Linked DNA regions of Astyanax mexicanus. The protein of the gene in region 1 interacts with the protein of each later gene in a biochemical or structural test. Links are inferred from orthologs where the notes say so. Each region holds a gene or a part of one and is shown in the gene's direction. Other genes may lie near its edges. The genes, in order: inpp5d and SLAM family member 9-like.

Region 1 (16,017 bases):
AGATTAGACACACTGGTATATGTTTAGAAATAAATGTAATATTTATATGTCTTATATTTTACCTTTCAATCAACTATATGCAACCAATATAATAAAAGGTTTCTCCAGAGAAATTTGTTTTCACATTTTTTTTGTTTCATATTTATGTAGCTAATTGGTAACATACCTTACGTAGACTGATCACAGTTTTTAACCTTCTATAGTAAATGAACAGGTTAAATAAAATTATCAAGCTATTAACACTGTTAAATAAAAATAAATAAAAATGAGCTTGAATCAATGAATTTGAAAGTTTTCGGTTTGTATTAATGCAGCCAGCATTGCTTAGTCTTTTTTCCACATACAATAAATACATCAATAAGTATCGGTTTGAAATACTGTACAAAATAATGGCAATTATTAAAAAAAAAATGGTTTCAATATTTCAATTTCAATATAGCTAGTGTTCCAATATATGTCAAGCTGTTTTATAATGGCACCACTGATACAAGTCCCAACTCAGTTTTAAAACTAAAAAAATGACATCTCTGATAGACGTTTGACTAGTAGAAACTCTTACTTCAGATATCATCTATAAAATGTTTACTAGTAATAATATCAGATCCACATATCTATAAATTCTTTATAACTAGTATTAGTTTACCACTGATTTACATGGAATTTCTCTTATCTTTTGGGTCCTGTACGAATGACTAAAACTATTACAAATGCTAAAGATATCTCTATTTAGTTCTGACAAGTAATGTGCATTTAGGATATGTACCGTTTATCTGCATAACATAATTGTAGAATTCTAGAGAATTTTGGATAGGAATTGTAATGTTGTTTTTACTTGTCAGAATTAGGAGTCGAGATTACACAATTTCTACTAGTAATAAAGTGGATTTTATTAATAAAATGTAATTATAATTTACTGAGCATTACAGGCATGCTGAACATGATATTTTACTAGTATAGATTAAGTTATTACTGGTATCACTGGCATCATTTTACTTTAAAAGTAAATTAATATTTAAATATGAATAATCTAGCATTGCTTAACTTCTGTACCTTTGGTTACTGTTGTGTCTGTTAGAAGTTAATGAATGGATGGATATAGTTTAATACAAATTATAAAGAGAACCATATGTTCATTTCACACATTCATGATGAACAGACTTATCCTTCAGTCCTCCTCCTCCTTTAACTTAACCCCCTTATCTATAACTCTCTAGTGATGCTCTTGTTCACTAAACCATGATTTTTTTTAAAGGTTAATGTTTACATGAATTAAGGGTATATATGAAGTGAATATGAACATTGTCAGCTGATGCAACTTTTCATTTATTCTACTAACAAAACGTGTCAACTTGGAAGTATATGAATTATTATTTAACTTGAATGTTTCAACTTTTGGCAGAAAAAGAAAAAACTTATTCATGCATTAATTTGACTTTGCAACATATAGTATATTGTATCTGATATCTAACCATCTAACCATATAAAATTCATTTTCTACCAATATAAAATCAAGCATGTATTCTCATTATGTAATAGCCATTGTTTTCTTTGTAATGGATCATTTGTATTGTGTTGTATTGTATGTATTGTATTGTATCTTATGCCTGTCATTTCACTCATGACCTGCTTTCACTTTTTATGTAAATGTAAGAAAAAAGAATGATAATTTCTTCATATTCATATTTTAATTTTCATGTATCTTTAGTTCTAATTCTAATATTAGGGCTAGAATAATGTACCACACTTTGTTTTATGTATTATATTATATACTGCCAACGTACGGTGCTATGCAATTCTAATTATGCCTTTTGCTAAAATTTGTCTTATATATTATGTCTTATATATTAAATCACCTCAATGTGCTTATTGTTTGTGAAAGGCTGATTATACACTATTTATTATTCTTTATCTCTGGGTGTGATGTTATGGGCTTTCGTGTTGTTGTATTTCAGTATTGCTTGTATGATACGTGCTAGATGCACTGTTTTGCCAATATATTTGTAATCATGGTGTAAATTAAACTCTTCTGTATTTTTACGTTGTGTTTGCTTTGATACTAATGCTTGCGGGTACATTTGTATTATGTAAAGTTTAGTTTTGCCAAGTAATACAAATATGTCAGGTTCCACCTTACATTCCATAGTTTATTTTATATACAGAAACCTAAGCTCATAACTCAAAACCATTTTCTTAGTAATTAGAGAGTTTTATCTGAAAGAAACACAATATATTAACGAATAAACTTAAATACAGTAAAAAAATTATGAAAAATTTACCTTTTTAAGACTGGAGCTCATATCCTATCAGCTAGTCTGAAGGTTAAAGTTTGGTTCCAGATTTATCCTGGATGCTCTGCCCTCAGCCAGCACCCCCAGTGAATGTGGATCCCATCAGCAGCTAACCTAATTTACCATCATTAAGCTCTGATATACCATACAGCTGCTGATATGATCAGAATATAAATAATACAAGACTCTATGAAGAGTAATTCTTTTTCTGACAACTTTTTAATTCTACTCCATACATGTTCACACAATTATCTGAACTTTCTACTCCTTACATTGTAAAAATAGCCTCCTATTACTCCTATGTCATTTCAGCTTGTTTCCATTCTGGCTCATCATCATAAAAAATCCCTATCCAGATGAATCTCTTCATCCAGATAGAGTGAATCTGATTGTGGTTGGATGTAGAGAAGTATAAACAGATACCATTCTGATATGCTGTTGGTTTAAATATGATCCATCACACCAGAACACATCACGCCCCCCACACTCCAGCAGACGTATCCTTGTATGAAGATGTCAATAGCAGCAAAATGTCCCAACTGTATTTGTCTGAAACAGGTTGCCTAGTGCATTCCAAAGTTTTCAAAGAAGTATTTTAAACTCTAGTATTTAAACTTATACCTGAGTAATTAGGATTGCCACCCATCCCGTAAAATACGGAATCGTTCCTTATTTGGCAACTAAATATTGCGTTCCGTATTGAACCAATGGCATCAAATCAAATCGTTTTACTGTCTTATCACAGTTATACAGTTGTAGAGGTAAAGGTAACACTTTATAATACTGTTCCATAGTTAATAGGTAACTAAGTAGGAACTAAGCAGTAACTAATTAATAGTGCTGCATTAACACCTAAATATTTGAAAGTTCTCCAGAAGGCATCTAAGACTCTAAGAATGACTGTAAGACTAATAATGTAACAATCATTGCTTTAATACTAGGTATCAGCCTTATAAAAGTGCATCTTCAGCGTTTGCAGTCTCACAGAGATTTATTTTTACTGCGCATTATTAGGGCAATTACGGTAATTTCACAGCGGACGCAGCTCTCCAGGGGCCTTATTTATAAAACTCTGCGTAGGTTCTGGAGTGAGAGTGTGCGTACGCACAAAAAACAGGAAATGGCGTTAAAAAAGCGTTAATGGCGAAATGGCGTTTAAAAAGTGTGCGTACGCACACCTGAACGCAGTTTCCTCTTTATAAATCACAATCTGCTTATAAATGTGCGCAGCTGACCAAGCCTCGCGCTCCGCCTCCGTACCGCCCACATTTACCCATAAAAGGTCCATGCAAATCACCCAATGAATAATTAAATGAGTGATTCCCCATTCATTCTGATCGGGATGATGGAGGAACGCAAAGCAAAGAAGCGCAATTTTGGAGATTGTGACGTGGAAGTCCTTGTTTCAGAGGTTGAGGCAAGGAAGGATGTGTTGTTTGGTGGCCTTAGTAGTGGCATTACCAACAAACGCAAGTTTGTTGAGTGGCAGCATGTGGCTGCAGCAGTAAACAATGTGAGCTCCACAAGCCGAACTATTGCAGAGGTAAAGAAAAAGTGGTCAGATTTAAAAGTCAACGCAAAGAAGCAAATTGCTTTGCACAGAAAAAAATTAACTGCAACTGTAATCAAGTAATGCCAAATTACTTAATTAATTACTCAAGTAATGCCAAGAGCGCCATTATAACAGACAGTGCCTCACTATTTTCTGCCTATTTATAGAGCTGTTATTTTATGCAATTAGGTACAGCTGTTTATGATCGTAATTATCTGCAACTATTACAAGCCCTTAACACTTTCCTCTCTATTTATTATAGAGTATAATTTGTTGCAATAATAATAATAATAATAATAATAATAATAATAATAATAATAATATTTATATATATATATATATATATATATATATATATATATATATATATATATATATATATATAGCACCTTTAGATTTTACAACTGTGAGATTAAACAGATAATACAAATAAAACTGAAATAAACTACAAAGCGAAATATACAAGTTAGTGGAAAATTAACACTACATATACATATAATACAGAATAAGATACAGAAATAATTTTAACTATACATGCAGAAAAAAAATATTGAAACAATTAGGTTAAATGTGTGTTAGTTAGCAAGCTAAGTTAGCTAGGGGAAATGTGTGTGTGTTAGCTAGGTTAATTGTGTTAGCTAGTTTAAATGTGTGTGTTAGTTAACTAGGTTAAATGTGTGTGTGTTAGTTAGCTAGGTTAAATGTGTGTTATTATTATTATTATTATTATTATTATTATTATTATTAATGTATATTTCCCTTTATAATACTGTGACATGATCTGCAGTAACTCCTAAAGAAGAACACAGTAACTCCTCAGAAATTAGTAATTAGTTAACATGTTTCTCACTTTATAATACTGTGGTATGATCTACAGTAACTCCTAAAGAAGAACACAGTAACTCCTCAGTCATTAGTAATGGGTTACCATGTGCTGCTGTTAACTCCTGAAAAAAGAAGACAGGGACCCCTTATTAATTATCTATGAAGAACACAGGGATGCCTAGTTCGTTATCTAACACAAATATTTATTCATTTAAACATGATTTCCCCCAGAATAAGGATGTAGGACACAACCTACAGTAAAGCTGTATGTGAGCCATCACTTCTACTGAGCACATCTCCAGGAGGACTGAAGAAGAGCACAGGTTTAGAATAAACACCTGTAACACACTGACAGAACATTACAAAAATGGGGGTTAAGCAGACTACTGCACATTTCAGTGTGTCTAACATTTGGAAGATATTGAGGATACTACGGTAAGTAAGGTTAATATATGATAGGTGGTGTCACTGACTTTAATATCACCACTGATAGAATAACCTGCAGCAGCAGATAAACACACTGATAGAGGCTAGCGGTCCGGCGCTGTGGAATTACCGTAATTACCCTAATAATGGGCGCTAAAAGTCTGTGAGACTGCAAGGCTAAAGATGAACGTGTATAAGGTTGGTGTTGAAAATTAAAGCAGTGACCATTAAAACAAAATTGAGTACAGTCAGTCTTAGAGTCTTCTGGAGAACATAAATAATGTCTACTCTGTAATAATATTACGTTATAAAGTTATTTTTTCTTTCAAAAATGGGGTTTAAGCAGATTACGACACACTGTAGTATTTTACTATATGTTGCTAATATTTGGTAATAAGATAATGATGATAATAAGGTGATTAATGTTACTACTACTACAAATGGTGTCACTCAAATATGCCTTTAATATCACCACTGATAGAATAATTGTTTGTGTAGACTGATTTAGATCTATAGTTCCCCAGGTGGCATGTAAGGGTTTTCAGTAGTTAATGTTGATTTGAGCAGTAATTAATAAGTAGTTATTATAAAGAAGACATAATTAGTAAGTAGTTCTTCAGGAGATATGTAAGTCTCAGTAATTATTGTGAAGTTAATAGTGAACTACTATAATCATTAGTTTAGTACTATCTACTGAGTAATTATCCAGTACTCCCTGGTAGTTAATAGAAAATATTTAGGTGTTAATGCAGCACTATTAATTAGTTACTGCTTAGTTACTGCTTAGTTACGTATTAACTATGGAACAGTATTATAAAGTGTTACCGAGGTAAATGACAATCTTGGGCGCCAGATCCATTATAGTAGAACACAATAAATACAAACAGAAATATAAAAATTTTCACACATAACATTAGAAATGCTAATGCATACAAGCTACTGGAGTGAATAATGAATATGGCCTGGGCTTACTGGACATGCTGGTAGACTGCACATTTATTGGCTTAAACAGAGTCCCAGTAGTCAATATTGTGTGTGTGTGTGTGTGTGTGTTTGAGTGGGTCACACTAGGGGGTAGAGTCAGGCAGTGTATGTATGGAGGTGAAAGAGTGCCCAGTGTTAACGTGATGCATCACATGAACACTTACAGAGGGACAATCAGCAGAACATTCACGCTTTCAGTCCCACTCAATCTGTCTCCTCAATGCTGTAACAGATCATGTGACCTGTCTCACATTAACAGCCTAAAAAAGTTTGTTCATTTTTAATTTACTACGCCATTTGAATACAGCAGTTTTACAACACCTATTTAATTTTGAGTAGACCAATAGAAATGCTTTAATATTTTTAAAGGTCTCATTCCATCTTTTTTTCATTCATTTTAAAATGTCTAGTTGTGGTCTCTAGTACGAATATGCAATGTGAGCCCTTTATTGAGAAAAAAAGGGCTCAGGTGTTTCTATTTAGCCCTGCTTTAGATCACTGAATTAGAGGTCTCTGAAGAAAGACTAACAGCACTGCAGCAGAGAATACCTAGCTGCCTTACCCCCACTGTCAATTTTACAGCTTTAAAACTCAAAGGACAAAATGTTTTCAGAGATACAGCCTTAGTTATAAAGATATAGCAGTGAGTGCTAGATAAAGTTAACTCTTAAACTTCACTTTTGCAAATAGAGACTGCCCGTCATGATAGCGTTCTCCCCGCAATTAACCTCCTACCCACGGCAGCAACGCCACTATCTCTGCTGCAGTGTGAATAACCCCCTACCCACGGCCGCAACGCGACTATTCCTGCGACAGGGGGAATAATTCTCTACCTGTGGCAACGCAAATAACCCCCTATCCGAGATGTCACTATGCCCACGGCAGCACGATTACCCCCGCCACCCTCCCAGTGCCATTGATTAAGTTTCTTTCAGCTTCACTAACGCTACTAAACTCTTACCTCAGACTTGGTGATTCGGTGCATGGGCAGTTTCACCACAGGACAGCCCCAGTTTCTGCTTTATATGATAAAATCTGATGCAAATGGTGCCCGCTTTGACCCCCTACCTGCAGCAGCGAGAATAACCCCCTACCCGCGGCAGCAAGAATAACCCCCTACCCGCAGCAGTGTGAATAACCCCCTACCTGCAGCAGCCATGCTGCTTTTCTCGCGGCAGAGTGATTCCCCCACCACCCTCACCCTCCCCCCTCCCAGCCTGACCGCGTTATTGATAATGTTTCTTTCAGCTAAACTAATGCTACTAAACTCTTACCTCAGACTTGGTGATTCGGTGCTTGGGCAGTTTCACCACGTCGAAGCCCCAGAGTCCGCTCCATATAATAAAATCGGACCTGAACGGAGCCCGCTTTCACAGTGTAAACTCCTGTAAACTGACCTAAAGATACTCGTATAGAGATACACTGCCTGGGCAAAAAAGGTAATTCATACACTGGCACACATTTGCTGTGGCATAGTTTCCACAAGCTCCTGCAATGTCACAATATTTATTTCTGTTGGGAGTTTTATTAAATTGTCCCCAAGATCTTTTATTGGTGGTGGGAGATTTGGAGTCTTTTCCAATAGATTCCAAATATTCTCAATGGGGTTCAGCATAGCCACATAAAGTGTACTTTTTTAAAGTATATTGTATGTATTTTGTATGTAGCTCAAGCTAACTTTTATTATATTAAAATATAACAAAATGCATTTGGTCAGAAGAAATGAGCATGTGAGAGAGAGAGTGGCAGGATGGAAACAGTTTTATTTTCATGTGATTCATACTGTGGACTGTCAGTAGATAGTTCCTGTCTAGCTCTCACACTTTCTTTCTCACTGTTCATTTCTCTTTCTATGCCTCACAACCTCTGTTTCTCTCTCATCCTCTCTCTCTCACACACACACACACACACACACACACACTGTTTTCAGCCACAGCATAAGCCACATTCGGCTTACATTCTTGACACTGATTGGTGTGTAGAAGGCCGTGCTGCGTAAGGCAGTGGCATGTTGTCATTCCGGGGAGTTGCCTTTGCAGGTGTTGTGCCAAATTCTGCCCCCTGTCAGAGTTTGACTCAATGCTTTGAGTGCAGGTATATCCCACAACAGAATTAGCATTCCAGATTGCCCTCAGATTCCTTTTATTTTTGTTTATTATTAGGGTTAATCTACAGTTACTGTAATAGGTTGATGATAGCCTGGCTCTAATAGATAGATTTTGTGTAACTGGTCCAGGGAAGTCTGAGCCATCTAAAAAATAACATTTTACACTGTACCATGGATCAGTTGATCTGGACTGGGACCACCATATTTGATTGGACCACAGTTTGGTTCTTTGGTCAGGAGCATGGTTTGTGACATCTTTCCCCACTGCAATTTTGGTTTGGACCAAGAGTTTAGAGTTTGCTATGCTACAGAAATGCTAGACTTAAGCACTCATGAATAGATGCAGGCAGTTTTTGAGTCACAGTTTGTGAGTTTTTTGTAGGCCGGGCCGTTGTTGTTGTATGCAAAGGTTACATGAGATGGGTGAATATATTTTGCATGTAGAGTAAATATGAAATATTATGCTACAGTGTGTGCAACCCTGCAAACATCAGAACTTCAAAGCTACTGCACATACTATTATGCTATATGTGTTATACTGTAGCTCAGTGGACATATGGCACATTCTCTGTATTCACTTTCGGTATTTACTTAACTTGGTTAACTGCTAGGGTAACATACAAACCACTGTACCTGTACTGCTGTTGTGTGACCATACGAGCAGCCAGCCGCTCTCTGGCCTTCCTCTCGCCCTCCCTCTCTCTCTCTCTGACTTGTGCATGCAGAATGAGGAAGTTCACTCTCGCGTTTGTGGCAGCTTCCTTTTTACAGCTTTCGCCTTTAACAGGAAGAGAGACCCAGAGACAGAGAGAGAGAGTCAGCAAGAGAGAGAGAGACACATAGAAAGAGAAGAAACAGCACTCTGATGCAAACAGCGCCATGAAACGGGCCTTGAAGCGACACTGAGTGCGGCCTGTCGTCCCACGGAGCGGCTCCTGAAGCCCAAACACCAGTGATCAGGTGGTGGTCTGCAGAGCAAGCTGTAAAGGAAGCGACCGGGTGGACAGGATGTCATCCCACCAGCCGTGGTACCATGGCAATATCACCCGTTCCACCGCCGAGGACCTGCTGTCCAAAGCAGCAAAGGATGGCAGCTTCCTCCTCAGAGACAGCGAGTCCATACAAGGAGCTTATGCCCTCTGTGTGCTGTGAGTACTACAGTTCAGTTAATCCAATTACAATTATGCTTGTGCTATATCAAATTCCTGGACCAGTTGAAATAACTGAACTGATATACGGCAGTTCCAACCAGTTTAGAGCTTTTCTTTCCTGTTCTTACTTATAGTTCATAGACACTTTCGCTGTAGCTGTAATGGAGAAAACACAGCAAGGCCATTGATGCAGAAGCCCAGTTCTTTGCATGCCCTGTCAGTTATGTAAATTCGGGCATAACAACATGAACTGGAGACCAGAGATGCATTCACTGGCTCTTCTCTGTCTGTTTTCCATTAGCTGGGTTCAAATCAGGAACTCAAAACTAGTCGTCAGCTGCTTCTAGGACTGATTAGCTCAGGGGGTTTCAGTACTTTAACATGAAAAGCAAAGCATGCAGTAGCTGTAGAGGTTCTCAAAAGTGATGGACGTACAGCTAACTCAAGACTGTATGATTTATCGTATTTTCTGTAGATTAGCTTTTTGTCTTGCATGCAGAATACACTATGCTTTGTTAGATGTGCTCATGCAAATGCTGTCTACTAACAGAACATGTCTGCAGTAGCCTCTTATGTTAAAATGTTTAATATCACATAAATTACGACTACACAGAATATTGATTCTGCATTGTAATCGCTTTTTCCCCATGACATTTCTTCCAAAAATAGATATTGACTTAATAATACTTTTACTCAAATCTAAAATCTATAGAGTGTTTTATAATATCATGATTTGTGTTGTGTTACAAATAATATAATTTCATACGAAAGTCTATGTAACATTTATTATATTTATTGAGCTGCTCAATATGAAAAGAAACAGTTATATATAATGAGAAATTAAAAAATACATACATTTTTACCCGATTTTATTTTAGAAGCTAATGATCCAACACTCTGTGTATCGACAGGTAGTGTTTTGTAAATAATAATAATAATATATAATCTGCATCTGGTAGAAATGTCATTGAAAATGAGAATTGTGTGAATTTTCATTTAGCATCAAGCAGCAAAGAATTAACATAATGTGGTTGATTCAATTTGAATGTGATGTGACACTGCACTTCCTACAATGACACATATATTTCGGTGACAATGGTTTAAAAAAAAAATGTGCAGTCTTAATTATTTATACAGTCGATTAATGTAATGTAGTGTGTAATTGTAATGATGAGTGTATAGTAGAGTGATTATAATATTCTAATCTGGATACAAGATGAGATTGAGATGGTTGGGTATGGAGGTGTACAGGTTCTGTATGGATACTGCAGCACATTTACCCACAGATGATGCTACAGCTGGGCCTGTAGATCCTGCTCTACACTCGTAGGTTACTAAAGCTGTGTCCCATCTGATCCCGTAAATGCTGGATTGGTGATAAATCTGGAGACTGGTTAGTACAAGGAAGAGTTAAAATCTGTTGGAGACATTCCTGGGAAACTCTTGCTGTGTGTGGATGAGCATTATCCTGCTGAAAAATGCTATTAGTTGAAACCCTGTCATGGGAGGTAACATGTGTCGTCAGAATGTCTGTTACATATTTCTGAGCTGTTAGTGTTCCTCATATCACTACTGGGGTGACCGACTGTTGTATCTGATGCTCCCCGGATCATCGTATTAGCAGTTTGGGACAATGTGTCACTCCACAGCAAAGCAAGATTGGAATGCTCACCATGAGGTCTCCATACTCAAAACTGATTATAGAAAATCAGTGGGATGCCATTATATAAATCCCATTCATCTGAAATTTCTAAATTCCATTGATTATTATGCATCTTATTAGCTGTGACTCCTAAAAGGTTTGTTTGCTATGCAGGTACCAGAACTGCGTCTACACCTACAGAATTCTACCCAATGAAGAAAAGAAACTCTCTGTACAGGTAAGATGTAGAATGTAGAAATGAACTGCACTCTATATTTAACTGAAGCTGAACTGGAAACTGTAGGGATCTGAATAAAAGCCTGATGAATCACTAGTCTCAGTTCTCACCTTTGGCCTACCTGCTCTGATGGGATTTCTCATTTACTTTTCCAGTTATGAGGCATGGTGAATGTGTTGACCTGACCAAAACATTTTCGTAAATCATAGCAATTTACCATATAACATGAGTCAATATCTTAGCACATTTTATTACAACGACAAGCAATGTGATAACTGTGTGTTATTTGCTGAAAATAACAATGCTGTGAAATTTAAACCACAGTTAACTCATATCTGTTTTTTGGAAATATAGCATCAAAATTCACACTATCGTAGGGCTCCGAGTGGTCCAGCGGGCTAAGCCACTATGATTGGGAGATTGTTGGTTCGAATCCTGTTCGTGTAGCTTGCCATTGCCTACCAGAGCCCAGATAGAGCACAATTGGCCTTGCTCTTTCTGGGCGGATGAATGGCACTCTCTCCCTACATCATTCCAAAGGGCAAATTTGGCAATGCTGCATCAGCAGCAGTTTGAAAAGAGGTGGTGGCTGACTTTACATGTACCGGAGGAGGCATGTGCTAGTCTTCACCCTCCTTGTGTTGTGACATCACTAGTAATAGAGGGAGTCCTAATGAGTGTGTTGAGTAATTTGTAAATTGGGGAGAAATAAAAAAAATAAATAAATAAAAAAAAATCACACTATCGTTTAGCTGCAGGTTGAATTTGATTGCAGCTGTGCCATCAGCATATGATAGACTGGGAACCACATTCATATAATATATACACTCATCATCACAAATATACTGTACTGTAGTTGCACCCAGAAAGAAGTGTGGCATTTTGGTGCTATTCAGAACGAAGGTGAAATTTACTAAGAATAAAAAATTATTATGAATTTAAACTGATATGGGTAATATTTATTAAGTTACATACTGATGACTTATACTGAAGTTGTGTGTAACGCACGCGTAATAAAACTTCATGGGCTTACAGTGGTTCCTAATGGAGTCCTGAAATAATCTATTCAGGTCTGGAGATGCAGTTGACCATGGCATAGTAGCTTAAAGGCAGGCTCTAGAGGTGGTAGCAGTGTTGACTTGTTGGAATAGTGCACAAGAGTGTGGGTTTAGAAAAGGTTGGACTGTCAAAGTTCTTGTAATGAAGACTGGAGGTGATCTGTCATTGTACGAATTTGCACTGTAGACCATGACAGCAGGCCTTCTGGACTTGTAATGTGTAAAAACATACTGTTGCCTCCACACACGGATTTGTTGGTCATCTCCACCAAAACAAATGTACTTCAGGGACTCGTCAGTAAAGAAAACCTGCTGCGTTAACAACACCATTGATGGCATTGCATGGTGTTAAGAGCAGTTATTATTATGGTCTGTGTGCATATAGTCCTGCATATAGTATCCACTGACTTGAGTCACTAAGCGCTTGTCGGACAAGTTATCGTTTTTTGCACTTTGTAGCTGGTGCAGATCTCCCTGATCCTTTATATCTCTAGTAGTACATGACTTCTTCTATCCACTGATACCCAGAGCAACTTTTCTTTGAGGTTTAATACCTCACCTTAATACCTCAATCGATGCACCAACACAACACCACAAGTCAGAATAGAAAAATGTGCAACAGGAGGACCTTATTTAGTCAGTCACTTACAGTGATTAGCCCTTTCTTGCTTATGTCACATGCACATACACACTCTCATATACTAAAAGGCATTGGACAGAACTAGTGTTGAGTCCCATGAATTTTGCCATGTCCCATGGAAGCTAAAGAACTCTGGATTGAACTGTGGGATATATATGTTTGGGGTTTCCTGCATTATATGTGGATGTGATATCTTCCAGAGTCGTTTGTCTGTTCACATGGACAATTCTAACCTAAAACCGCTGGTCACCATCCTTACCACGCACTGCACTGTCCACTGTAGGTGGTAACAATATTATCTGGCAATACGATGTTAGAAATGACACAAAGATTGAATAAAAACGCAGAGATGCATCTGGTAAATGAGATTTTAATAGAATCTAACGCTATTGTTAACCTGATTGTGGAAACGTATTTATTGATATCATTGTAAGCCCAGGTGTATTTTCAGTAAAGGCCCATCGTAGATGACATGCAAATATCTACTGTTGTCTCTTGAGTTGCTTGGTTAACACAGTTGCATAGTTGCATCAGTGGCATTAATGGCATTAGTGGAATCGGACACCCAGCATCCTAAACCATTAGCAGCTGGGCTAACGCTGAACTTTTTTCTCATGCCTGTTGTCAGTTCAGCTGATTGTAGAAACTTATTTCCTAATATTAGTGTAAATCCAGGTGTATTTTCAGTAAAGACCCATCATAGATGACATGCAAATATCTACCGTTGTCTCTTGAGTTGCTTGGTAAACACAGTTGCATTAGACATGCAGTGTTCTAAAACCATTAGCGGTTTGGTTAAGGCTGAGTTTTTTTTTCTTATGGCTGTTGTCAGTTCAGCTGCTGCAGACGTTCTATAGATGGCATGTGGGTGTTCATTCTCTTTAGGCAGAACCCATTCTCCACCCTGCGTTACAGACACAGGGCTAACGGCGCGCTAGCACGCTAATGCAGCTGCAACACCACTTGTTGTTTTCATTCAAACTCCTCAGACTTGGAGCTGTGCTAGCCAGCTGCTAAACACATGATAACACCTCACAACAAGGAACAAAGACAATGAATAGGTCCTCAGATTGACTTCATATTTAATTAACAAGGTCAATACATATTACTTAATATGATTAATTTATTCGATTTTTATATCATAAATGTGCCGGATTTATCAGAACCCAGGTTGGACTGATACACAAATATGTTTTGTGGTAAACCATTGACTAGTACTAAATTTACTCACTAAAAAAAAAAAAAAGATAAAAAAGAAACATTAATTAGACATTCATTAAAACATATTGGACAAAAACAAATACAAAAATAATATTATTATTAAAATATTACAATTATGCAAATGATTTAACTTTTTATCTTATAAGTTTGAAGTTTGTTTATATACTATTTCAATCAGCTTGTATATGTTGTATATGGTAGAATGATGGTATTCAAGAACCATCATACTGCCTCTTTATTTCCCTCTGCCTCTAAAATTCATGAGTATTTTAAAATTAGAGCTTCATGCCATCGGAGGAACATGACCTTGGTGGGGGGAAAAAACACTCCGCTTAGATTAGAAGTTATTGGGAAATTCTTTAATAAGCTTTAATATAAAATTTCAAGAACAGCCTATCTTTATACTGATGAACTAAATATGGTTGGACTACCTCAGTGTCCCAAATCAGTGTGTCACTTGCCATTCCCTTTAAGAGCCAGGTGCGCTCTGGCTTTGGCAGATTGGTATTTTAATGGCGCAGCTACCTGGAAATACCAATAATTCTTAGTAAAGGAAACTGACCTTCTTGTTCATGCTGTGAAGATGCACAAGCAGGTAATTTAAGTAATATGAAAATAATGCAGATTTTGTTATTTCTATTCTGTATTTTGTTTATTATTGATGTAAAAGTTTGCATAGCTGGCAAAAGGGGGGCCTCGGATGTTTACAGTCAGTGGCACACCTGTGTATTCTGTTGCCAAGATAGCAATATGCCAGAAATTTACCTGAACAAATTTAATTTCCAGAACACTACACCCATCAGTGGAGATATTTTCAAAATCAGATTTTCGGTTGATATTTAAACGACACAGGCGGAAGGCGTAAAAATAGGCTGTTGGCGGGGTGTAAGATAGCAATGAGCATCGTGAAACACTTTGTGCAGGGTGTACGATAGGGCCTTTAATCTCTGTTTGGAATTGGATATCAGTAGACTTCATAAATTAACTCTTTTAACTACCTCTCTTTTAAAATGTCTGTTGTACGCATAATTCTGGATGCTAATAGGAAAACATAAGGATTGCTACATTTAATTTCAGTGCGTATAATTAAGCATGTAAGTTTTTGTTGCCAATGTATTGGCCTAGAAATAGTATTGATAATTGACAAAATAATGAAATAAATGTCAATGTTAGAAATATTTCAAAATGTATAAATAATTAAACAAATATGTTAATAGGCCCTCCTTGCTAAGAGGTCATGTTTGTATATTAAACATAAATAAGTTGATTATTTAATCATTGTAAAAGACCTAACTTAACCTATATCATCTGCATACATATGGACAACAACACCAGAAAAACAGGTGTCTGGAAGGTCCTTAACTTAGAAAACAAATATCAGTGGGCCTAAAATTGAGCCCAACCTCATAACCAATGTTTCTAGATGTATTGTATCTATAAATTATACCCATTTTGAACATCTTGTACAGAGTGCAATTCTTTAAAGTGCACTAAAGATCATGCAAGTTTGCACGGTGCTGCTGTTGGTTGATACAGTAGACACTCAGTCATGTGTAAAACTGCAGAAAGGCCTTTAATATCTCTCACAGACTCATCACACTTCTTCCTCTTTCAGGGCCGCAGTGAAGCTCAGCCTCAGTTTAAATTATCCTGCAGCGTGGGCGGCAGGCAAGCCACAGGGTTCCTCTTACGCCGGCCTGCATGGAAACTTTCTGAAATGCAACTTTTCAAATCTCATTAGGGTTATTTTAAAAAAGCAGCAGTTTTGCTGTACTGGTGACAGTGTAAAATATAATGCAGAGTGCGTGGGCGGCATTTCAAACACAGGATCTGCTTAGCTACTATCAGCAGCCATGTTGCGACGGGGGCCAACAAGATGGACGCC
Region 2 (16,785 bases), on another chromosome or scaffold:
CACACCTAACAAATACACACACACACACACACACACACACACACCATGTTTACACTGAGTGAAGCTTGTATTAATTCTCTGGTTGATCCTGATCTGTCTCATCAGTTTTTTACTGTGTGTTTAGTGGAGTTATGTATCCATAACTAAGTTTTGGGAGTTGATCCACGCCCTCACTCCTCCCACTTCCTTCCCTATTTAAACCGTCACTTCCTCTCTACCTGCTCGTTGAACAACCTCTCACCCACCTCCTCCCCATCTTCCTCCTTCTTTACTTTTTTTTTTTTTTTTTACTTTTATTACTCTCCTGTTTCTCTTCATGAGAGGGGGGGCTTCGGCTTCACACTTTACAGCGAAGCTGCCCAGAACTCCACCCCCAATACTCTGAGTTCACTCCCCCTCTTTTATTCTTCTCTGCCCAGTCAAGGGCGTGGGTCAATACTAGCAAAATACATTTTTTTATTGAATTTCGTTGTCTGTCTTGTTATTAAATAATGTACTTAAATAAAATGATAAATCATACTGACCCTGAACTCTTAGCCCTCAGAATCTGATTCAGTCTTCAGTATCAGAATATAAATCTTTGATGGAAATCCTGATATTGTGACTAAATAATTAATTACTTTATAAAATAATTTGTAATTGTAATACTAATTAAAGTTACAATTTTTAGGTACTTTTAGGTATTTTTGTGAGAGTGATCACTAAATGAACGTCATTCTGATGATTTTTAGAGTGTTTTATTTAGTTTGTTTTAACAACTGTTGTTTGTTACTGTTGCTGTGGGAAGGATCTGAACTTCTCAAATTTTGCAATCTGCTACTCTCATCTTTTACAAAGTAAAACCAGAGTCCAGTAGCTGCAGTGCTGTATGGCAGATTTAATATTATCTTTATCTTATAAATGACTTTATTACTGCAGTTCTTCTTCTCCTGTCAGATTAACTCTAATTCTAATTCTCTTCTCTGCTGAAACTGAGACTCAGTCCTTATTAATCATGTTAATCTGAGCTAAAGGCTAAAGCTGCTGTTTCCATGTGGGTCAGCCAGACGTCTTCCTGTAGCAGTTTTTAACTCCAGTTTCTAAGAGTCTTTATTTGAAGGTGTAGAAACAGTACTCACCACTCTCTGATTTCATCTGTAATTTCTCTAAAGAAAAGAAAGAACTTCTACTTTTAATAGTTACAGAGTTCTCTGTGTTTTATCTAGTTTTTTTTCTAGTTATTATGATGATAAAAGTGTGAATGTGCTGTAAATGTGTAAATGCAGCTGCAGTAGAGAATAACAGCAGTAACTCCATCTGTTCCACCACTACAGCTTTACTACTACAGTTTTTTTTTAACAATACTAAAATGTTTTTTTTTCTTAAGGGAAAAATGGGCGTGTTGTAAAAAAGTCCAGAAACTTTTGTTATTCATTCTTTCCTTCCCTGGAAGAAGAGGAGTGGAGAGAAGAGGAGTAAATGAATAGAAGGATAGAATCACAACTCTCGCTTTCAGCCCACGCCTAATACTGCCCAGCCAATCACAGAGGCTGAATAGAGGCAAATATTAATAAGAACAGTTCACTTTGAGAAATCAATAAACCCAATTCCAAATTTGAGAAATCATAACTTTGTTTAGATAAAACAGAGACAGACATAAAGCACTTCAACACTTTTTTAAAAACTTTTAACTTGTAAACAGCCTGTGTATAATCAATATCATTAATGTCAAGTGGGGTCCAGGGGTATGATCACCTAGGAGAATTTATTTTAAAAATCCCTTTCAATTATAGATTTTGGTGAATTTTCAGAAGTGAGATGAACAAACCCAATATAAGAAACGAAAATATGTTCCTCTGGTACTGGACCACTGAAGTCGTTCGTCATTCTGTAGCGCTCCTACGGCTTCTGTGTCTAAGCGTTTTTTCCCTATGAGAAAAATGATGGGGTTTTTAAAAATCTGCCTCTGTCAAATTCTGTGGTAAATAAATCTGTTCAGACCCCTGTACGCTTTATTCTGTGTACATTTTACTCCTGAACATCACCGTATCCTCTGAATTTCGAGATCGTTTAAGGGTCGTAAGAAAAATGCTAACTTTAAGCTAATGCTACAGCGGGGTGAACTGAACTCCCGGCACCGCTGCAGAGATTAGCAGGGAACTGTTTTCGGCGTAACACCAGAGAACTTCGGCCGTAAGTTACGAACTTTTGGCTAACCAGCTTGTTTAGTTATCTAACCAGCTTGTTTAGTTATCTAATGAAGAGTAACTGTTTATTATACTTTGGGTTGATTGACAAATATCTTTCAGTTATGATTACTTATCTTAGTATCTATAATTACATAATCATTGTGTGAAACCTTGTATTCTATATGCATTAACCAATACTCACATTGTATTTGATCATTTTTACTCACAGTGTATTTTACACGCATTTATATAGAAGATTAACCAATACTCACAATATACTCTTTACATATATAGTAAAACATTGTTTGATCAGGCATGTGACTAACACAGACTCTATTATATGACAAATTAACCCACACGATACATAAGGCATTTACTAACACATAGGATTTATTATATGGCGGACTAACCACGCGTTACTAACACATTAACATATAACATATGAGATGTAGCTCAGGCTTGAAGTATTTTGTTGACTGCATGACCCTAACTAACGGTCATCAACTCGACTGGTACGGGGCTAAATTGCTACAGAAAAGGCTCTTAGATCAAAGCGGCCTTTTGGTGAGTGAGTGCCTGCCTAAAAACCTCTGCTTCAAAGCGGGGGGTGACGCACACACACAGATAGTGCCACGATGTTCCATTCTGGAAGAATACAGTCAAGGCCAAACACTGATGGTCCGGTCAGACACGTGAAACGGATTACTAACACGTGAAATTACGCATGCTAACATGAGATGATTTTAGCAACGCCTCATCAGCAGGTTTCACGTCATTTGGGGTATAAACATGGAGTCAGATCAGAGGGGGGTCAGAACTTATGCTGGGACGGCTGTTAGACGGTCTTTCATGTGTGGGTTCTCCTGAATATTCAGTACTTTGTAATAAATACTTGGTTTGCTTTCAGCTTCACTCCACCTGTCTGCGACTCTCTCTATCAAACGAACACGCAGGGGAGTTGTACCCCGGACGAGAGGTGGGGGTAGCCCACCTTTCATTTTCTTTTCTACACTAACACTAACCAGCTTGTTTATTTAGCTAACCAGCTTGTTTAGTTATCAATCCAGCTTATTTATGTAGCTAACCAGCTTGTTTAGTTAGCTAACCAGCTTGTTTAGTTAGCTAACCAGCTTATTTATTTAGCTAACCAGCTTATTTATTTAGCTAACCAGCTTGTTTAGTTAGCTAACCAGCTTGTTTATGTATCTAACCAGCTTGTTTATGTAGCTAACCAGCTTGTTTAGTTAGCTAACCAGCTTATTTATTTAGCTAACCAGCTTGTTTAGTTAGCTAACCAGCTTGTTTATGTATCTAACCAGCTTGTTTATGTAGCTAACCAGCTTGTTTAGTTAGCTAACCAGCTTGTTTAGTTAGCTAACCAGCTTATTTATTTAGCTAACCAGCTTATTTATTTAGCTAACCAGCTTATTTATTTAGCTAACCAGCTTGTTTATGTATCTAACCAGCTTGTTTATGTAGCTAACCAGCTTGTTTAGTTATCTAACCAGCTTGTTTATGTAGCTAACCAGCTTGTTTATGTATCTAACCAGCTTGTTTAGTTAGCTAACCAGCTTATTTATTTAGCTAACCAGCTTGTTTATGTAGCTAACCAGCTTGTTTATGTATCTAACCAGCTTGTTTATGTAGCTAACCAGCTTGTTTATGTATCTAACCAGCTTGTTTATGTAGCTAACCAGCTTGTTTAGTTATCTAACCAGCTTGTTTATGTAGCTAACCAGCTTGTTTATGTATCTAACCAGCTTGTTTAGTTAGCTAACCAGCTTATTTATTTAGCTAACCAGCTTGTTTATGTAGCTAACCAGCTTGTTTATGTATCTAACCAGCTTGTTTATGTAGCTAACCAGCTTGTTTATGTATCTAACCAGCTTGTTTATGTAGCTAACCAGCTTGTTTAGTTATCTAACCAGCTTGTTTATTTAGCTAACCAGCTTGTTTAGTTATCTAACCAGCTTGTTTATTTAGCTAACCAGCTTGTTTATTTAGCTAACCAGCTTGTTTAGTTATCTAACCAGCTTGTTTATTTAGCTAACCAGCTTGTTTATTTAGCTAACCAGCTTGTTTAGTTATCTAACCAGCTTGTTTATTTAGCTAACCAGCTTGTTTAGTTATCTAACCAGCTTGTTTATTTAGCTAACCAGCTTGTTTAGTTATCTAACCAGCTTATTTATTTAGCTAACCAGCTTGTTAAGTTAGCTAATCAGCTTGTTTATTTAGCTAACCAGATTGTTAAGTTAGCTAACCAGCTTTTTTATTTAGCTAACCCAGGAACGTGAAATCAGCTATAACGTAAACGTGGCAAGACAGACAACATGGGAAGGTGCAAAGACCGACTGATAAATATGGACTAAAGTGTACTATATATAGGAACATGAAACACTGAACACCTGGGGAAGGGGTGGAGCTACAAATTGGACACACGTGATGGAAAATTACAGGAGAAACACAGGGGAGCAGAGCGAGGTCGTGACAGAAGCCCCTCCCTAATCGTGCAGCTCCCGAGGCGCGTAAAACCAAACCCCGGGGGCCGGCGGCGTGGAGGGGCCGGGAAAAACAAGAGACGAGACCGGGGACTTGACATAAAAAGACATTGAACTGAAGACAAGACAGGAGACTGGACAAAGAAAGGAGACTGGACCGAGGACGTGACTGGAGACTGGACATTGGGCGAGACAGGAGACTGGACAGGAAACTGGACAGGGGACGATGACTGGATGTGAGACATGACAGGTGACTGGACAGGACTGGACATGGGCGATACCGGAGACTGGACGGGAAACTGGACAGGGGGACGATGACTGGACGTGAGACATGACAGGTGACTGGACAGGACTAGACATGGGACGAACGGGAACAAAAACATTGACAGGAACAGACACAAAGACGGTGACAGGAACAGGCACAGAAAAACCAGACAAGACAGGAACAGGAACATAGACAGACACGGGGACCAGAACAGGAAGAGACATGGGGACAAGAAAGACCTGGGGATGCCCAGGACTGGCTAAAGTCAGAGGGGTAGTTCTAGCCAGCCTGGGCAAAGTTTTTGGGCTGAAATCCGGGGGCCTTGGGGCAGACCTGGGCACACGGGGCTTGGGGCGGAACTTAGTCCTGGGTGCAGGAACCGGCGTGGGTGTGGTGAAGGACCACCATGGCGACGCGACGGCTTAGGCAGCTGGAGCTGGAGGCGCGGCAACTCGGGCAGCAGGAGTTGGTGGCGGTGCGGCGTCTTGGGCAGCAAGAGCTGGCAGTGCGGCGTCTCGGGCAGCAAGAGCTGACGGTGCGGTGACTCGGACAGTAGGAACTGGCGGTGCGGTATCTCGAGCAGCTGGAGCTGACGGCGCGGCGACTCGGGCAGCAGGAGCTGGCGGTGCGGCGGCTCAGGCAGCAGGAACTGGCAGTGCGGCATCTCGGGCAGCTGGAGCTGACAGCGCGGCGAATTGAGCAGCTGGGGATGGCGGCGTGACGACAAGCATCGCTGGCGTCGGCGCTGGAGTGGTAGGCACCGCTGCCACAGGAGCATAGACGGTGGGCACCAGTGGCATCAGCACATGGGCAGAGGGCACCTCTGGCACAGGAACATTGGCGGTGGGCACCGCTGGCATTGAAGCATGGACGGTGGGCACCGCTGGCACAGGAACATTGGCGGTGGGCACTGCTGGCACAGAAACATTGGCGGTGGGCACCGCCGGCACTGGAACATTGGCGGTGGGCACCGCAGACACAGGAACTTTGGCGATGGGCACCACTGACATCGGAGCATGGACGGTGGGCACCGCTGGCACAGGAACATTGGCGGTGGGCACCGCTGGCACAGGAACATTGGAGGTGGGCACCGCTGACATAGGAACATTGGCGGTGGGCACCGCTGACACAGGAACATTGGCGGTGGGCACAAAGGACCACTCACGTGAACAGACTTGGACCCTTGGGCAGTAGGTGTCTGCGTGGAGACTTGGGCTGCTGGAGAGAGCACTTGACTTGAATTCACCGCAGCATATTCAGGTTCCGGGGCAGGGGAGTGTAGCGCCGTTTCCATGGAAACCCTGGAACGAAGATATGCTGCTGCCGCATGTGACTTGAAGCGCTGCTCAGCAGCCGCCATGGAAGCTGGGTCTAAAGTCGTCGGAGAAGCGGGCGCCGCTGCAGCCGGAGAGAGATGAGCCGTGGTAGCAGGGGATGCTAACTGAGTTAGCCGCGTAGCCGTGGAGAAGCTTGGAGCTGCAGCCGCCGGAGATGCTAGCTGGTTAGCTGCTGAAGCTAGCTGAACTGCCGCCGAGACAGAGGGCGCCCTGGGAGGCGGGAGGCGGGTGGCGGGAGGCGGCGTCTTGAGGACCGGCGCTTTTGGAGATCGCTCCGTGACGTAGAAATTCGGCTGCAGGACAGCCCCCGGAGGAAGCGGCAAGCGGGCTCGCATCAGAGGGTATTACTCTTCCTCCGAACTGGATGCTGCTGCGAGGAGGTCCACGTAATCCCAGAAGTAGGGGTCCTCACAGCCCACGTTGCTGCCCACCTTGCCACCCCCGCGGTTAGTATCGAAGCCGATAGCCCCAACAGTTACCCCCCCCTCTTCGGCATATATATATATATATATATGTACATAAACAAACAAACAGGGAGTAACAAAAAATAGAAAATAACAAACAGGGTTAGGGATATATACAGGGATAAATACGTGAATATGTACAAAACAAAGAATGAAACAAACAGGAAATGAACGTGACTAGAAATAAACAAAAGCATGAAAATACAAATAACCAAGGAACAAGAAATCAGCTATAACATAAAAGTGGCGAGACAAACAACACGGGAAGGTGCAAAGAACGACGGATAAACATGAACTAAAGTGTACTATACATAGGAACATGAAACACTGAACATCTGGGGAAGGGGCGGAGCTACAAATTAGACACACGTGATGGAAAATTACAGGAGAAACACAGGGGACCAGAGCGAGGCCGTGACAATTATATTAACATTTAAGTAATATACATAAATATTATTGTTGATTAATATTTTTATGAGCCTTTTAATCACAGATAACTTTTTTTGTGACATTCGCCAGAGAAAGGGAGCTGTGGTTAGTAAGGTCTCTCTGTCTCGCGAAGTAGACTTTTATATAATGTAATATAATGTTACAGTACATTCTATATAACATTAATTTTTATGTAATAGAATAATAATAATAAATATAGCCGCAAGCGGCGATTTACGAGGTCTGAGCAGCACAGGCAAAGAGGCCCCTTAAGGCCAGTTAGGCTCAAAACATATTGCTGTATGGGTGATAAAAGGCCCTCATATACATGTAGGGTATAAGTATCGCCCTGTTTGGTCATTGTTTAGCCTGTCAAAAGCTTGCTGAAACTGATTGGCTAATAGCGATCGCAAAAATGTTCATATCAACATTTCCTTCAGTATACCAATAGGACATAGGCCATAGATTATAACTACCAAACGAGAGCTTGATAGCTTGTATGGTTCCTGAGAAACAGATTTTTAGCTTTGGCTCCGCCCCCTGGGGGCGTATGTCTTCACAGATTGACAGGCTACCTCAGAATCATGTTGGCATCAAAGATCTAAAGTGGCATTAGTGTCGGTTTAATCATTCAAAAGTTACAGCTGTTAGAGTAAATGTGGGTGTGCCATGGTAACACCAATTTGCATATGGCGGCCATACTGTGTAAAAATTTAAAGATTTTTTCAATAATTATTGAGGTTCACACTCTGCTGAGTTGTTTGACACCAAACATGTCAGTATATGCTAAATAGCAAAAAATCTAAGTGGGCGGAGCTTAGTGTTTCTATTTACTTTTTGGATTTGCCATAAACCACAGAATCAATTAATGAAATAATTTTTGCTCTAGCTATCAGGGCGTGGGAGTTACAAGGCCTAATGCATTGACCTTTGCCCCCTTGAGGCCGATCTGGCTCATTTTTTTAATCTGAGTAGCGGTGAGAAGTACTACCATATGACCAAGTCTCAGCCCTGTAGGCCTTACGGTTTCTTCTGCCCAATCACTTCTATGGCAGAAAAAGAATAATAATAATAATAATAATAATAATAATAATAATAATAATAATAATAATCAGAACAATAGGGTTCCTAACACTGCGTGCTCGAACCCCTAATAATAATAATAATAATAATAATAATACGAAGAAAAAAACCAGACAAAAAACGACGTGCTTGGACCTTAAAAATATAATATGATATAATAATAAATATGATATCACAATATAAATATTAAACCACAAGATAATTTTCTCTGTTCAAATGGAAATAATCTGTTTGAATGTGAAACATTTCCTCAGGCTGTTTTGCATTTTAATAATCTAATATTTCAACTCCATCTCTAGCAGATTTGTTTAATATTTTACCTTCAGTACAACAAAATGCAAGAGACATAAATGAGCCTCCTGGCCTGTAAGACCCATATGGTGTTTTTTGTGTCTAAAGAGTCAATCTGTGACCCTTTTTATAAGTGCTGTGATTATTGTAATACTTTTGTATGTTTAGACAGTGGCTGAACTACGTTGTATATATTTTAATGCAGCGTAATCATCACTATTTTGTTTCCTGAACAGCAATTTTCTCTGTTTCTATCTCTTTATTTTAAGTTTTACAAGTAACAGAAAAGCTTTTAAAACTTTACAGTTTAATGTCATTTTATAGTTTAAAGTATCAGTCAGTTTGGAGCAGAAGTTCAGAGTGCTATCCAGAGCTCAGTTGAATACGATATTCCCCAACTAATGTCACAAACATTAAAAACTACGGAAATTTTCATGAAAAAAAATCAGTTTAAAATGCCTCCCTCCTCCTTCACACTACTTCCTCCTCTGAACAGGAAGTAGCTCATATGCAGCATGATGGCGAGGGTAACACAGCTGATCTCCCTTCTCTGCGTTTTCATCGTAATTACCGGTAAGATAAAGTATATTCTGATCTTTTATACAGTCTTTCACTTTTACTTCAGTTTAACTGTGTGATCTTCATCAAACTACTGAAAAATCTGAGCTGAATTAAACTTCTGTAAAACGAACACAAACTTTTTAATAATTTGTAACTTGTGATTTTGATTGTTATGTATAATATTGTGTTGAAAATGAGATTTTAAACAGTTTAAAATTTAAATAGTGAAGAGAAAAGCTGCTAGAATGTGATGTTTTACTGAGATGGGTATTTCTCACGGTTCAGCGTTCTGAAAGCTTTTGATCTTCACACTTTTTTTTCTACTGAGATCTTCCAGTTTAAAATGGAACACTGCAGAAAACCGCCCCTCAGAAAGCCCACCTTTAGTTTCATTTTTACTCTGCATTGTTCGGTCACACAAATGTCTGCGGTGCAGCTTAATCTAAATCCACTCTAGAGATTTAATGACCGTGTTCTGTCATTTTTTAGGTTTTATTATTTTATTTTTTTTAAATGTACCTGTTATGAGTGAGAGTACCCAGCTGGCACACAACCGACCTTCAACATTAAAGTGTGGTTAAAATATAACTAAATTAATGTCTGTTGTTGTTTCAATGTTGAAACAAAGTTGAATCAACATTTAATGTTAAATGGTTGTGCAAATGTTGAAGTTTTAACGTTGAACCAACATAATGTCAGCATTTTACATTTTATTACCATATAATTTCTAAAAACGGTTGGATGGAGGAATTAAAAAGTGTTTTATTTCCATTTGCACTAACTGCAATAGGATTGTCTCCTTTTAATGAGCTATGGTTCATTAAAAGTAGAACGTATGGCGTTGAAACAACGTTGCATATATCAACGTGGATTCACTTTTTAAAATCAACGTTGATTCAACCATCACATCAACATTAATCAACATTAATTGAACATTGAAATGCCAGCTGGGTTGGATAAAAAATTTAAATGTACTAATTAACAAAGGTAGCTATAGGTTATTTATTCAAACCTAGTAGGAGCACATGTAGTTATAATTAAAGTGTTTAAAGTTGCTGCAGAACTCATTAATTCAGCATTTCCATGTCCATTTACTACCTTCAGTTTTAGCTCCATTTTATCCAGTTTTTAATAATTGCATACACTTTTCTACAACAGTCTTTTCCCATAACTGTGTATAAGTGATCAGCTCTTTCCCAGGTGGCACTGTACAGGAAATAGTAAGACTTATAGGGCCAAAGAGCTAAAACAATTGGGTGGCATGGTAGCTTAGTGATTAGCAGGTCTGCCTCTCAGTAATAGGGTCCTGGGTTCAAGTCCCTTCCTGGTGTAGAGTTTCTATGGCATACAGACAAAAAAAAATGTATTCCCATTAGGTCAATATTAGAGTAAAAAATAAAACTGATCTCCCTGATTTTGGACTGTGGGAGAAAATCCATGCAGGAACAAGGAGAACACTGAAGCTCTAAGCAGCTAAGCACTAATACATGTACTATGGGAAAAGTCTGATGTAGAAAAGTGTATGCAAATATATATTTAAAAAATCTTCCATAGAGGCTGTTGTGCATCGGGATGTTGAATAGAATCGTAATGTGTTTTAAAATAGAGGATGTACAGTATGAATGAAAAAACAAGCAAATGATAATTGCTTAAGGCTAATTTCAATTAATGTCATTTAGAAATACAATCACTGCAGAATATGTGGATTATCTGTTTTGTCCTTGTTTGTTTTATTGTTTTATAGCCTTTTAGTTGCTGCACAGTGATTGGTTCAGTTGCCCATCAATCAAAAGCCTGAGGGGGCGGGGTTAGGAGCGTGAGAGAGAAAGAGAGAGAGAGAGAGAGATCAACAGCAAGAGAGTGAGAGAGAGAAGAAGAGTTAGTGATGTTGGATACCACTGAATGTCTTTCCAATCAGATACTGAGAAAAATGTGTGGTAACTCATAAAATCTTGTGTGTTTCAAATCATAGCTTCATAAATAATACAAGGTATCCAAATTATTTATTAATTTATGATAAACTTGGAAGTATGATTGGGGTTTTCTGAGTGCTTAATCCTATTTAGATTCAACTATGAATGTAGTCTCTCCAAATAGCCTACGATAAGAGAATACAAACTAATTTTTAGTTTAAATGAATAAAGAAATGCCACAATAGTAGCTGACAATTTAAATATGTTAATTTAACAGTTAAAGCAGATTAGACTGTTTGTACATAACAATAGACACATATTTTGAATACAAAAATTGACATAACGCAATAGTAACGCAATAGTTACTTTTACTGGTAACTAATTTTTTTTAGTGCAGTGACTTTTTTTTTAGTAACTGTAACTAACTACTTTTTCAAAGTAACGTACCCAACACTGCTACTTACGCATTATTCACTGACCCAGGCGGAAGAAAAAGTAGTTCCCACCAAGCGCATATCATTTAGACTTGATATTTTGAAAAAAAGTCGGAGGTATCGGAGGTATAAAGAGAACAAATGTGAGTGAGAGAGAACAAATAAAAGAGTGAGAGAAAAGGAAAAAGTGTAAGAACCCTAGAACACCACCCCCCCAAAGTCCCCTAGACCAAACTTCCTACCCCACCCCCCCCCCCTCCAGTGTGCCCCCTCCCACATTAAAAATGCCTCTAACACTTCTGAATGGGAGAAAGGCCTTCAGTTGTTTAGAAGTTCTGTGTTTGTGAGCTTGTGGACTAATACACCACGTTCAGAGGGTGATAATTAAACTGAATTTCCTGCATTTGAACACAATCTGGTTAACTCTGGATTGGTCCACACAATAATTCAGCTTTTACTGTCTTTTACCAGCTTTTAAACGGCAAATACTTTTACTTTTTTATTGTTTTTCACTAAGGGAATTGGGCCCAAGAAAATTTCATAGTTGTGTTTTAGCTCACATTACTGCTCAATTTGGCCTCGTTTTGCTTTTTTCACCTCAATTCTTCAACAAGATATTTAAAAACCTATCTTTTGGTCCAGCTAGCAATTTCTGCTTTGTGCAATGGTGCAGCTTTATGTAAGAATTTCAGCAATGGCTGATTTGTATTAACACAACCAATGGGGCAACATAGGACCCATGGAAAAAAAAATCTGGTTTTCAAATGGGCTACCCATACATACCCCACATGGAACTGATTATATTATTATATTACATAAACACAGATTAGTTTAAGGCTATTGATTGTTGATTGATATCGGTTTCTTCCCACCATAAAAGAGAGATAACAGAGCACCACTTGACTCTTAATACCTCTCATTGATCTTTCTTTTTGGAAAGGATTAGTAATAATGTATACCTTAAACTCAGTATAACGACATGTACTTCAACAAGTAAAGGTTTTGATAGGCTTGACCTCATACTATATATTCTCTGCATTTTATTGAAGATGGCAAGTACAAATTCACCAGAAAATAACCCTAGTGGTTTTATCTTTCTTCTTTCTCTGCAGGATCCAGTGATGTGTCTGTGCAGGTTGGAGATTCTGTACAGCTGGACGTTCAGATTAAAGAACAGACATTTTCTTCCTTTATCTGGAAACACAATAATAATAATGTTCTGAGATATATTTCTAAAGGTAAAATTATTAAGCATGACCCTTATAAAGACAGAGTGGAGTTTAATGAGGAAACCTACAGTCTGACTCTGAAGAATCTACAGAAGACTGATAGTGGACTGTATGAAGCGATAACGCGCAGTCAAACAGAAACAACTGTTGCTCAGTATAATCTCACTGTGTGGGGTAAGAGCTTTGTACTTTTTGAGGGATTTTTCTCTTTTATCTAGGTATGAAACAAATCGTTTGAATTTATTTAGTATGATTTTGAGCTTGGCAATCTTTTCATGTCTAAGTTTTATGTATGAGCCTTAAGTAGGGCTGTTTTTCCAAATGTATTGTATCATTATGAAGGGCACCCCATATAATGTTCAGGATTTTCCTTTATAAATCACTGGTTGTTCAGATCAGTTATTTCAGTTAAATATACCATATAGCAGATGAACCCAGTGATATTTGAAAAGTGAAATGATCCAGTTTTCACTGTGAGGAACAGAGTGAGGAAGTGGAAGAACCACAGACTCAGTTCTAGATAAAGATCTGAAGCTGCAGAACAAGAAAAATCTCAGATAATCAGAGGAGAAGGATGGAGAGAACAGTTATAGTGAACCTACAGACCTCCAGACCAACTCCAACATCTATAACATCATCATCATCTTACTGCTGCAGATAATAGAGTCACTGTTCATCGTTCACTATTCACTATTCACTATTCAGCTCACTTTGCACACAAACAGAGTCGCTTCAGGTATGCTAAAGCTAACAGCACATTTAGATGAACAGCTTCATTTTGGGATTAGGTTCAGTGGACTGATGAAGCTAAAATTGGTGAAAAAAGATCACAGCATTCCAACTTCCAACACGTTACTGCTCCCCACAGTAAAATTAGTGCCGGTTCCATCATGCTGTGGGGGTTTGGTGGGATCAGTGCAGGTACTGATCATGGATTCCAGTCAAAATCAGCAGATTCTTCAGAACAATGTTGAAGAATCAGTGAGAAAAGTTGAAGTTGAAGTGCCGGGGCTGGATACTTTAACAAGACAACAACCCTAATCACTAAACACTAAACACTGCTCTTAATCTACTAAAGCACTAAGGCATTTATACAGAAAATCAAGTACAAAAATATGACAAATTATTAGAGGTGCCCAACCAAACCATACCACTCTACTTACCAAAATATGATTTGTTTCTTATTTAGTCTAGCAGTGTTTTCATGGGGTTTTAATATTCCCCTATTTTATTATTTACATAAAAAATCCCAGAAAATACTGTAGTATGTTATTGAAACATTTCTGGAGGTCAAGAGCCAACATAATTCCATACACCAATTACATGTGTTTCTTTATTGGATACACATCTGACTGATTTGTTAGAACATCCAAATACGAATGTATGTATTTTTTTTTCCTTGCTGCACATTTGCAGTTTTTGCATCATGACTTTTTGAAGTTTCTTTCAGTTAATGGTTAATGCTAGAATTTTGAGGCTGTTTTTCATGCAAATGTATTATTTATGAAGTAGTTTTAGGGCTGGGAGGCACTACTGATTCAACTTCTCAATTCAATTCCCGATTTCATTCCATATTGATTAATTTAGTGATATTTCAGTTACAGTAGGAGGTTTTGTTTGGATATGAAAAAAGAGACCTGAACTTACCATTATTAAAAACATTAAACTTTACATAAAGAATGAATTCAATACATTTGCATTTTTAATTACTATTATTATGGCTTTGCTTTTGTACAAAATAGAAACATTTTAAAATACTAATCTGAAGATCTTTAAATTGATATTAGACCATTTAATCAAAGATTTATTTGTATTGGAAAAATATTTTTTTAAACCTGATCGTAGGTCTTATTTTTTTGGATGTGTGTCTGTGGATGTTTTATGCGTAGACGTTCATGCACACTAAAGAGAGTTACAGGCTATATAATGCCTATTATAAAAAATTAAAAATTAATGAAGATAATTATGCTGATTATTTTAAATGTAGATTAGACAGCTAAATACAGTATAAAAGCATGTTGTTGTTATTGGTAACCGTTGGTGATTATGTAATGATGTAATGCTTTTATTATCTGTTTATTAGCAGCTCAGTAACTCGTGTGTGTGTGTACCTCAGATCCAGTGGAGCCTCCAGTTCTGACTCTCTATAAAAGTGCTGACTCCTGTAACATCACCCTCACCTGCAGAGGTCACGACCTCTGGATTAACACCACCTGTTATAATACAACCTGTGAGGAGAAGAACGTGACATCACCTGGAGGCGTCGCCCTCTTCCTGTCAATCAAAGACAGCCTCATTATCTGTAACCTGAGCAACCCAGTCAGCTGGAAGCAGGAGAAAATAACATTACAAAGCTGTGATTCTGGAGGTACACACATACTCGACCAAACACATCCCTCTTTATTTAAATTAAACCGTATTTCTTCTGTATCATCATCACCAACCTTTCTCTCCTATTAGAGAACCCACCCGGGGACCCGCAGAAGGAGTGGAATTGGCTGTTGTACGTCTTGATTGGTGTCGTGGGAGTTCTGTTGATTCTGATTGTCCTGGGTATCGCCTACTTTTGCAAAAAAAAGATGAAAGGTATTGCTTTTTATCTCAATTTTTTTGCTTTTTAGTCTCTAATTATCTGTAAATTTTGGTGATATGAAAACGATTTTACATGACTTTAACAGCTTGAAATGCGCAAAAGGCATGTACTAATTCTCTTAATTAATCCTGAGTGTGGTTAATTTTGGGTGTAATGTGAAATAAACCACAAATCAGTGTGTCAGTAGTCACTCCCTTTAAGAGCAGGTGAGCTCTGACTTTGGCGCGTTCGCATTTTAACAGTGAAGATACACTAGCAGCTCATTTAAGAAAATTTTGCATATAGCTTGTCAATTTTTTGCCAATGGATTTTTTGCAGTGAAGATAGGATTGGACTCTGACTGTTGACAGTTGTCAGGGTTTTAATCAGTCCGTGGCGCACTTGTACTTCACACTACCAAGATAAAAACACTCCAGCAATTTACCTGAACACACCTCACTTCCAGACCACCACACCTCATATCATCAGTGTAGATACATTCCTAAACTCTGACGCTATTTTAACAGCAAGGGGGCAAGGCATGAAAATAGACTGTTGACGGGGTGTAAGATAGCAAAGAGCATTGCGACCATCTTGTGCAAAAAAAAACCCTTTGGTTATTTAACCACCACCACACCACAGAAAACTGTGTAAAATGTATATAAAGTATTTAAAGTAAAGATTAATATTCCTCTATATGCGTAATAATGTGTTACACACTGTTTGTAAGACGTTTTGTGAGGTGCATTGTGGGAAATCGGGGTCCGGTGACTAAAGTTCACTGTGAGAGACAGAGAGCAGGAGGAACAGAGGCTTCTGAAGACACTGCTGTGACTATATAAGGTCAAAACTGTGTTCCAACCACTTCACCAAATACAGTAGATTTATTCATTATGCTTTATAGTACTTATAGCCCAGATGTTCTAGAAGCCATCAATAAGAAAATATGTATTTTTGTATTTTGCACAATATTAAAGGAAATGTATAAATTGTATACATTCAGATCATCAGAAAAGAAAGTAAGTAATCAAAGTAAACTTTGACCATTAAGACTTTTTTGATCAATTTTGATCAAATTGTGAAGAAACACAATTTGTTTTTCTACACTATTAGATGAAATAAATAGTTTGGACAGCAGATTTCACACAGGTTTTACGCTTCATTAAACACAGTGATTGTTTTAATTCAAATGATTAAATATAAACATCCTCTTTAATGATCTTTAGTGATTTAAGCAGAACTCTTCGTCATTTTGTGTTCAAATGAAGACAGAGCACAATTACACAGAATAACTACTGATATTAGTGAACTCACACTCACGACGCGGCTCTGACTCACTCTGTGCAGCGTCGGTTTAGGGTTTCCTGTTCCTGTAGCCCACCATCTGCTGTAGCAACACCAGGCTGAGGTTTAAACACAGCGGGGTGAAAAATGTCTTTTTACCCCTTCATGATTCTTCTACTTCTTCTTCTTCTTCTTTTTGCATGTTTGACTCTTCAATGTTTAAGAACATCAAAATAATTTAAATATTAGTCAAACAC

What was found.
Region 2: the proteins of inpp5d (region 1) and SLAM family member 9-like interact in a biophysical measurement, tested with the Homo sapiens proteins (2 studies listed by IntAct). The link is inferred for Astyanax mexicanus from reciprocal best matches to the Homo sapiens genes INPP5D and CD244.

Annotation. Positions count from the first base shown.
Region 1 is NC_064412.1:48,002,899-48,018,915, reverse strand, and holds the start of inpp5d (phosphatidylinositol 3,4,5-trisphosphate 5-phosphatase 1), read left to right. Parts: upstream 1-8,886; 5' UTR 8,887-9,190; coding exon 9,191-9,330; intron 9,331-11,149; coding exon 11,150-11,213; intron 11,214-16,017. UniProt on the Homo sapiens protein: Phosphatidylinositol (PtdIns) phosphatase that specifically hydrolyzes the 5-phosphate of phosphatidylinositol-3,4,5-trisphosphate (PtdIns(3,4,5)P3) to produce PtdIns(3,4)P2, thereby negatively regulating the PI3K (phosphoinositide 3-kinase) pathways.
Region 2 is NC_064411.1:1,561,528-1,578,312, reverse strand, and holds the start of SLAM family member 9-like, read left to right. Parts: upstream 1-8,986; 5' UTR 8,987-9,050; coding exon 9,051-9,108; intron 9,109-12,555; coding exon 12,556-12,846; intron 12,847-14,788; coding exon 14,789-15,040; intron 15,041-15,132; coding exon 15,133-15,258; intron 15,259-16,785. UniProt on the Homo sapiens protein: Heterophilic receptor of the signaling lymphocytic activation molecule (SLAM) family; its ligand is CD48.